Caenorhabditis elegans: one gene and its partner. The protein of the gene in region 1 purifies or fractionates together with the protein of each later gene. This does not show direct contact. Each region holds a gene or a part of one and is shown in the gene's direction. Other genes may lie near its edges.

Region 1 (3,920 bases):
GAAATGTTAAGGAAATATATGAAAACATCACACCAAGTTTTTAATAACAGTAATCCTTAAAGGCGCAAATCTTTTCGCATTAACAAAAACTTTCTTGTCGAGATCGGGAACCGTACTTGTTTTTGGCAAAATAATTCATGCGCATGCATTTCAGCCTCGTGGCTTTTGATAAAACTTTCATTTCGGATTCATCCTTCAACTTCGTAAATATTTCCACCGGCCTTACCTGTACCAATTCAATTGTAGCAGAATAGCAAGCGAAGAACTGAGAAGTCCTGCCAAAAGCCCAATTGCTTGCTTTTCAGTCAACGAGCCACATGCTAATGGTCTTAGTTTCGTTCGTTCAACCTGAAACAGTTTTCGGTTTTTTTTTACTTCTCATTTTGAAAAACCTTCTTATCAAAATCCTTATCCCACAAATCATTGATAACACATCCGGCACTTCTCATCAAAAAAGCACCAGCTCCGAACAAAGAAAGCATGTAGATAGATGGTAATTGACCAGCTGGAGTTGCCATTGCTATGCTCCATGTGCATGGCCAATACAGGAGCCAGGTACCTGAAAAATAAACGTTAAGGACTCAAATCAAACCAATTGCGCACGTGAAAATTTTTGCGCCGAAAGTACAGTACGTGGTCTCGACACGACAACATTTTGTTGAATGCAGAAAGGTGCGTGCCTTTAAAGATTACTGTAACTTCCAAACTTTCGTTGCTGCGGAATTTTCATCGAATTTTCAAAATCGATTAAAACTACAGTACTCTTAAAGGCGCACATTTGTTTGTATTTTACAAAATTAATCGCGTCGAGACTAGGTATCGTATTTTCGGCGCAAAACTCCCAAAACTTCGCGTCTGTGTAATAATAAATTACCGATAGGCTTGTCGACTCTCATCAGTTGAAGATATGGCTTCAAATTTGGCGGAGAAGAAGCAACAAGGCTACTTGCAGTTGGTATCAGTGACATTGGTTGTTTTGTACTAAAATTATAACAATTAAAATTAAAATTTTCGAATTCTGAACCTAGTGGAAATCCATCTTTTTGTTGATTCATCTAAACTATATGAAGTGCTTGTATTTGATCCAACAATGCAATTAATCGAATTGGATCTTCTAGCGATACCTATTGACCTGGTTATCATTTTTTTTTGACGAATCTGAAAACTTTCTCTCGTCAAAGACATGATAACATGAATTTGAAAAAACAAGCATTAAGTTAGGGACGAAAACCTTTGCTCTTTGAAACTAATACTTTGTATTTAGAAAATCAACAACAATTTCATTTGAATGAGGAAGAGAGTAACATAACCAACAATGATGAATAAAAAACAAAGAAATGAACAATTTTTGGGGAGGGGCGCGGGGAAACGAACAATAATGGAAATAGAAGAAAAGAGCAAAGCCTACGTGCAGAATAGAGTGAAAGCGGGAAATATTTCTCTTCTGCGTCTCTTTCTGTTTGTGTGTGATTTAGAATTCCATACTATCCGTCTTTCGGCCTTCGACCACAACTGAAGTGATAACATGTCCGTCTTCGGTTTCCTTGGATTCGAGCTCACGGCGAATTTCAGGCGAGATGAGATAGTGTCCATGGAACTATAAATTGAAATTGGTTAAAAACAATGGAAACATTGAACTCATGGGACCATAAAACTTCGGAAATTACCTGACTTAAACTTTATAATTATGAAAAAAAAATTTACGTGACCAATGATGTGAACCCATACGCCAGGAAAAAAATTAAAAAAAAGAAGAAAACACGCATAAGATCGATCAGAAGTGAAATTTTAATCATTTCGATAATCGTAGAAATTAATTCTACACTCTTTTCACATAATTGGCGCAATGGAGATCAATGAGCAACCATTCTTTCACGGACTTCTTCCACGAGAAGAAGTAAAGGTAATTTGAGAGTAATATTTATTTAAAAGGAGCACCGACTTTTTCAGCTTTTACTTCAAAAAAATGGCGATTATCTGATGAGAACGTCAGAGCCTCAAGGACAAGCACGTCATTTGATCATTTCGGTGATGCAGAACGAGACAAGTCAAGAAGTTGCTCATTATGTGATTCGTACAAGCGACGGAGCATATTCAATCACTGATAAAATTAAATTTGGAACATTGACTGAGTTAGTAAATCATCACAAACAGGCTAAAATTAGTGAGGTACGAGCGATTCATGCACATTATAGACTAATTATTGTTGTTCAGGAAGTTGCAAGCAGTGTTCTAGTGAATCCTATCGGTAGACAATCATGGGAACTGAATCACGCCGATATTACAATGACAAAAGTTCTTGGTGAAGGTGCTTTCGGAGAAGTAAAGCTTGGGACGCTGAAAATGGGATCGACTACAGTAGATGTCGCTATAAAAGTTGTGAGTTGGACTAGACTTTTATATAAAAAGTAATGACGAAACTTCAGGCAAAACTTGAAAAAGTGACTAAAGAACAAATCAAGGAGATCATCACAGAAGCACGTCTGATGCGCGGATTCGATCACAAGAACGTTGTAAAATGTTACGGCGTGGCTGCAATCGATGAACCATTGCTAGTAGTCATGGAGTTAGTTCCTGGTGGTGCTCTGGATAAATATCTTCAGAAGAATTCATCGGTACAATGGCCTGAGAAACTGGATATAATCGCACAAGTGGCAGCTGGTCTGGCATACATTCACAGCAAAAACATTATACACAGGGACATTGCGGCCAGAAACATACTCTATGGAAAAGGCGTTGTATGTTATAAATAATTTAAAAGTTAATAACTAATAACGTTCAGGCTAAAGTCTCTGACTTCGGTTTATCTCGAGTTGGAACGGAGTATCAGATGGATCCGAGCAAAAGAGTTCCAATCAGATGGCTCTCACCAGAAACGATCGTTTCCTTCCTTTATACTCCACAAACTGATGTGTTTGCTTTCTCGATTCTCTGCTGGGAGGTGATCGAGAATGGAGCTCAGCCGTATCCGGAGATGTTGGTGGTGCAGGTACATCAGAAGGTTGGACGCGATGATTACCGTATGCCGATTAGTCAAAAGGCTCCAGCTATGCTTGCCGATGTTATTGTAAGTTCTATTTCATTCCACTATTTTCATAGCAATGTGGAATTTTCCAGAAAAAGTGCTGGATTCGCGATCCTCAACAGCGCCCCACTATGAGCCAAGTTGTCCAGATGATGTACGAAATCACAGGAAAGAAAGATAAAACCTCGGTCAACAAGTCGACAGGACAGCTCCGTGCAAAAATGATGTCTACTGGACCAATGTCAGATCCGATGAGAGATAAAACTGCTAAAAAGACTGGAAGACGTAACAAGAAGAAACCGTCAAGCGCATCGAACGGTCCAGGTGGCAACTCTGGGCCTAGTTCGGGTCCATTGTCTGGTAAGGATTCGAGACTGAAGAAGCCATGAAAATAACTCTCCTAACTAGATGTTCTCGTGATAATAAAACTCGAAGTTTTAATAGTTTTTAAAAATTAAACTTACTCTGATCAGCTCATAAATAGCTGCCTTCTGCTCGGCATTCAAATCGTTCTTGTATCGCTGGCACAGTGCCAAAAGACACTGATGCCACAAAACTGGCATATCTCGTTCATCGGTTTTCAGACGAATGAAGTGATTAACGACTCCGTCGACTGCACGATACGGTAAAGCATACTTCTTATCAATGAGAGCTCGAAGAAACACGGAATTAGCTCCAGTGTATTCCATTTCGGCAATCTGAAATATCAACAGGTTTTTGATGAGATATTTTAAAACAAAAGTTACCCTAAGCATAGCAGCAGCGGAATGAAAAATTGGAATCGGGACTTTGGTGAGGACAGAGCTGAAGATAACAGCTTCACGAAGTGTACATGTTCCAGACTGAGAAAAAAAGAATATACATGAAAAATATTTAAGTTAAACTCACTTCTAAT
Region 2 (3,920 bases), on another chromosome or scaffold:
AAAATAATCAGTTTTTACAATAAAAAATTTGCAAATCCAATCATTTCGACTTATTCGAACTCCGTTTTCTTTTCTGGACAAAAACTCAAGCTAGACAAATCAAAAAATGGCACAAATTGCGGGAAATGGTGAGTTTCTGGTCGATTCTACAATAATCGGAAGACTAAAAGGAAGTTTCAGAAAAAAATGTGCTAACATCGGCGGAAGTTACAACCATGCAAATGAAATGCACGTCCCCTGATCAGGATCTTGTCGTTTATCCCAGGTATGTTAGGCAGGTAGGCAGGCGTGAGACAGACACGCAAGCAGGTAGGCATGTAGGCAGCTAAGATTGAGGAGACAGGTAGGCATGTAGGCGCGTAGATAGGCAGCTTTGGAATTGGCAAGCAAGGCGCCAGGTGTGAGATCGGTGTATAGGTAGACATGCATAAATAAGTACGTAGGCATAAAGTAGGCAAGCAGGCGCAAGGTAGGCCTGGGGTAGGCAAGCAAACTGCGCCTGCCTAGGCATGAAAATGTACCTGCCTACAATAAAATCTGTAACTTCCAGATGGCTGTTCTTCTACTCGCAAAACGAATACCGTACTCCACTTTACGTCCGATTCTTTGTTGCAAATCGTGATCCGCATACTGTTGCATACAACATCAAGGCAAGAGTAAGGAAGTTTTGTTCTTCAAAAATCGACGCCTAACCTACCTACCTACCTTCCAGGAAAAGATCTTCAAAGTCGACTCGTCGTGTGGAATCCTGAAGCCCGGCGAGAAAAAAGTCATCAAACTGTTTCTGATGTCGTCGGACGATTGGCCACTGGCATACGGAGAGTACACTCAGAAGCGGTTGAAGTTGGCCGTCGAGTGTCTGAGAGTTCCTGATGAAATTCAGCCGACTAGTGAGAAGGTGAGATTTTGTGGTGTGGCCGAGGCAGAGGAGAAAATATCGCCCAAAAATTTTTAGAAAAAATTTTAAAAATTTCCAGGAATCGCGTACAATTGCCCGAGCTCTTTGGAAGCGATCGTACAATGAGTGGCCGTTGGAGCGTCTTTACACCAAGGCATAAATTCAAAAATCTTGAAAATCAATAAAATCAATATTCCAGTTGAACATCTCCCTGGTTTCTCCAATCAACAACGTTCAAGCTCCCGCCACCACGGTCTCCACAAAAATTGCGATTTGATTGATTACTACTAGAATAAATACATTGAACATGGAATTTTTTGAATACTTTTCTTTTTTTAAGTACTGGTTCTACCCAGAGGTGGCCGGCGATTCCCGTTCGGCAATTTTTTGTCGACAAATTAGGCAATTTGCCGGTTTGCCGATTTGCCGGAAATGTTCAATTCCGGCAATTTTCCGGTTTGCCAATTTGCTGAAATTTTTTAATTTCGGAAATTTGCCGAGTTGCCGATTTGCCGGAAATGTTCAATTCCGGCAATTTTCCGGTTTGCCGATTTGCTGGAAATTTTTAATTTCGGAAATTTGTCGAGTTGCCGATTTGCCGGAAATGTTCAATTCCAGCCGGTTTGCCGATTTGCTGGAAATTTTTAATTTCGGAAATTTGTCGAGTTGCCGATTTGTCGGAAAATTTTAATTCCGGCATCATATCAGCAGTTTTAACCTTTCAATGCCCCTTGATGACGTGATTCTTTACTCAGAACGGACTTCTGAGCTTCTGAGCCTCCTGAGCCATGAAAAGGATTCCTTGAAGAGCTGCTGACATAATAATCATTATATTATTGCATATAGCCTACTCTAAGAACATGATGATTAATAGGAATAAAGTTGAATTTATGGCTTCTTGTCTCTTTTCTTCGCTCTTCATAAGTTGAGCTTATCATTGGGCAAGCTTCTTTTAATGTTATTTCTACGACTCTTCATATTCACTCCATTTTTGGTTAGTCTCAAAAGTCTCAAAAGTTCAAATAACAATCTGATATCCAGATATTGGCAAACTGCCAGGCTCGTCGAACAATAAAAGTCGGTCTCCTATTCGTGCAAAACGTTTCAAGTTTGCAAGTCGGCATTGGGTATAGAACTTCGGCGGCGGCGGTTCTGGTGACAAAGAATAAGATTCGGGAGGATCATGTGCTGGATGGGTTTGATTTTGAGTAAGTGGGAATTACAGGAGATCTTGATATGCCGTGGTAGAAGCTTCCAGAAAGCTCCGAAATGTTCTCAAATTTTCCACCAAGTTCCAAAACATTCCAGATTTTTTTTCTAGTGCTCTAAAATGGCCCAGAAAATTTTATGTTGTTTTTCGAAATTTCTAGATATTTCCAAAAGGTTCCAGATTATTTCAGAAGTTTTAAATTTTTTAGAAGTTTTAAAAATGCTTGAGAATTTTTTTAGAATATTTCAGAAGATTTCAGAAGTTTCCAGAATTTTCTCGAATTTTCCAGAAATCTCCAGGAGGTTCCTAAATTGTTCTCAAATTTTCCAGCAGTTTCCAGAAGTTTTCAGATTTTTTAAAGAATTTTCTGAAAGTTCACAAAAGGTTCCAATATGATCCTAAATTGTTTTCAAATTTTCCAGAAGTTCTCAAAAGGTTCCAGAAATTTATCGAGTATTTTAAAAGTTTTCGTACGGTTCCAGAACTTTTTAGATTTTTCTAAAAGTTCACAAAAGGTTCCAGTAGGTTCCTAGATTGTTCTTAAATCTTCCGGAATTTTCCAGAAGGTTCAATAATTTTCTTGAATATTTCAAAAGATCCCAAAAGGTTCAAAAATGCTGTCAAATTTTTCAGTTTCCAAAAGTTCCCAATAGATACCAGATCATTCGAGATTTTTTTTTAATTTGCAAAATGGTCCAGAAGGTTTAATGTGCATTTTTCAAAATTTCTAGACATTTCCAGAAGTTTCCAGAATTTTCTCGAATATTTCGGGAGTTTCCAAAAGGTTGAGAAATTATTTCAAATTTTCTGAAGTTTCCAAAAAGTTTTCAGGAGGCTCCAAAAATGTCTCGAACATTTCAAAAGTTTCCAGACGGTTCTAGTACTTGCTAGAATTTTCTAGAAGTTCCCAAAACGATTCAGAAGGTTTTATACGTTTGTTTCAAAATTTCTAGATATTTCTAAAAAAAAGTTCCAGAATTTTTTAGAATATTTAGGGAGTTTCAAAAAGTTCTAAAATGTTTTTAAATTTTCCACCAGTTCCCAGGAGGTTCCAAAAAATGTCTCGAATATTTTAAAAGTTTCCAGACGGTTCTGAAACGTTCTAGAATGTTCTAGAATTTACCTGAAGTTTCCAAAAGTTTCCAAAGAGTTTCGGAAGGTTCCAGAACTTTTCGAAATTTTTGAAAAAGGGAAATTTGAATTCCCGCAATTTTTTTCGAAAACTTATCTCATATATTGCCTCGTTCCAGATTCCTTTGGGACTTTGACGAGTGTAATGAAATTCTGGGCGCCGGGAAGACTGTTGATCTACTTGAAGTCAAAAAAGTCGACGTCATATTCGGCCCTACTTGTTCTCGACGTAAGCTTTCTCCCTCTAAAAGAGACCCTATCCAAAAACTGTTCAATTTTCAGCGGCTCTCATCAGCTCCGCTCTCGCTACTTACTACAACATCCCAATATTCGAGTGGGGGTTAACATCGACTAGACAACTAACCGATGTCAAACGATTTCCTACAACTCTACCATTTTCCGTGAATAGCTATAGTCTGGCTATGGCAATTCTTGGAACTTTAAAGCAATTCCAGTGGACGGAGTTTGTGTTCCTGTATTGTAATGATGGAGACGATGAGAAGTGTGAATCACTTAAGGATGATGTGCAGGTAAGTTGGGGAAAAGTGGTAAAACTTAAAAAAAGGTTTTCAACAGACAGTAGCCTCTGCGCATGAGGAGCTATCGTTGGCCTACACGTTTCGGATTCAGAGCAAGAAGTTGGAGGATATGAGAGCTGCGATTGTTGAAATAAAAAAGCGA

The links.
Region 2: the proteins of F57B9.8 (region 1) and gcy-17 fractionate together in Caenorhabditis elegans (co-fractionation; one large-scale study listed by BioGRID). This does not show direct contact.

Annotation. Positions count from the first base shown.
Region 1 is NC_003281.10:6,933,205-6,937,124, reverse strand, and holds F57B9.8 (Tyrosine-protein kinase), read left to right. Parts: upstream 1-1,805; 5' UTR 1,806-1,846; coding exon 1,847-1,903; intron 1,904-1,950; coding exon 1,951-2,169; intron 2,170-2,214; coding exon 2,215-2,379; intron 2,380-2,426; coding exon 2,427-2,738; intron 2,739-2,782; coding exon 2,783-3,067; intron 3,068-3,117; coding exon 3,118-3,414; 3' UTR 3,415-3,464; downstream 3,465-3,920. Other genes in the region: coq-2 (4-hydroxybenzoate polyprenyltransferase, mitochondrial), read right to left, coding at 227-348, 393-559, 875-981, 1,025-1,143; Cell adhesion protein byn-1, read right to left, coding at 1,472-1,597, 3,490-3,723, 3,772-3,867, 3,914-3,920.
Region 2 is NC_003279.8:2,231,033-2,234,952, reverse strand, and holds the start of gcy-17 (Receptor-type guanylate cyclase gcy-17), read left to right. Parts: upstream 1-1,853; coding exon 1,854-1,892; intron 1,893-1,939; coding exon 1,940-2,106; intron 2,107-3,358; coding exon 3,359-3,468; intron 3,469-3,521; coding exon 3,522-3,769; intron 3,770-3,815; coding exon 3,816-3,920. Other genes in the region: dct-9 (Major sperm protein), read left to right, coding at 107-128, 181-265, 551-656, 713-898, 978-1,052, 1,098-1,175. UniProt on the Caenorhabditis elegans protein: Guanylate cyclase involved in the production of the second messenger cGMP.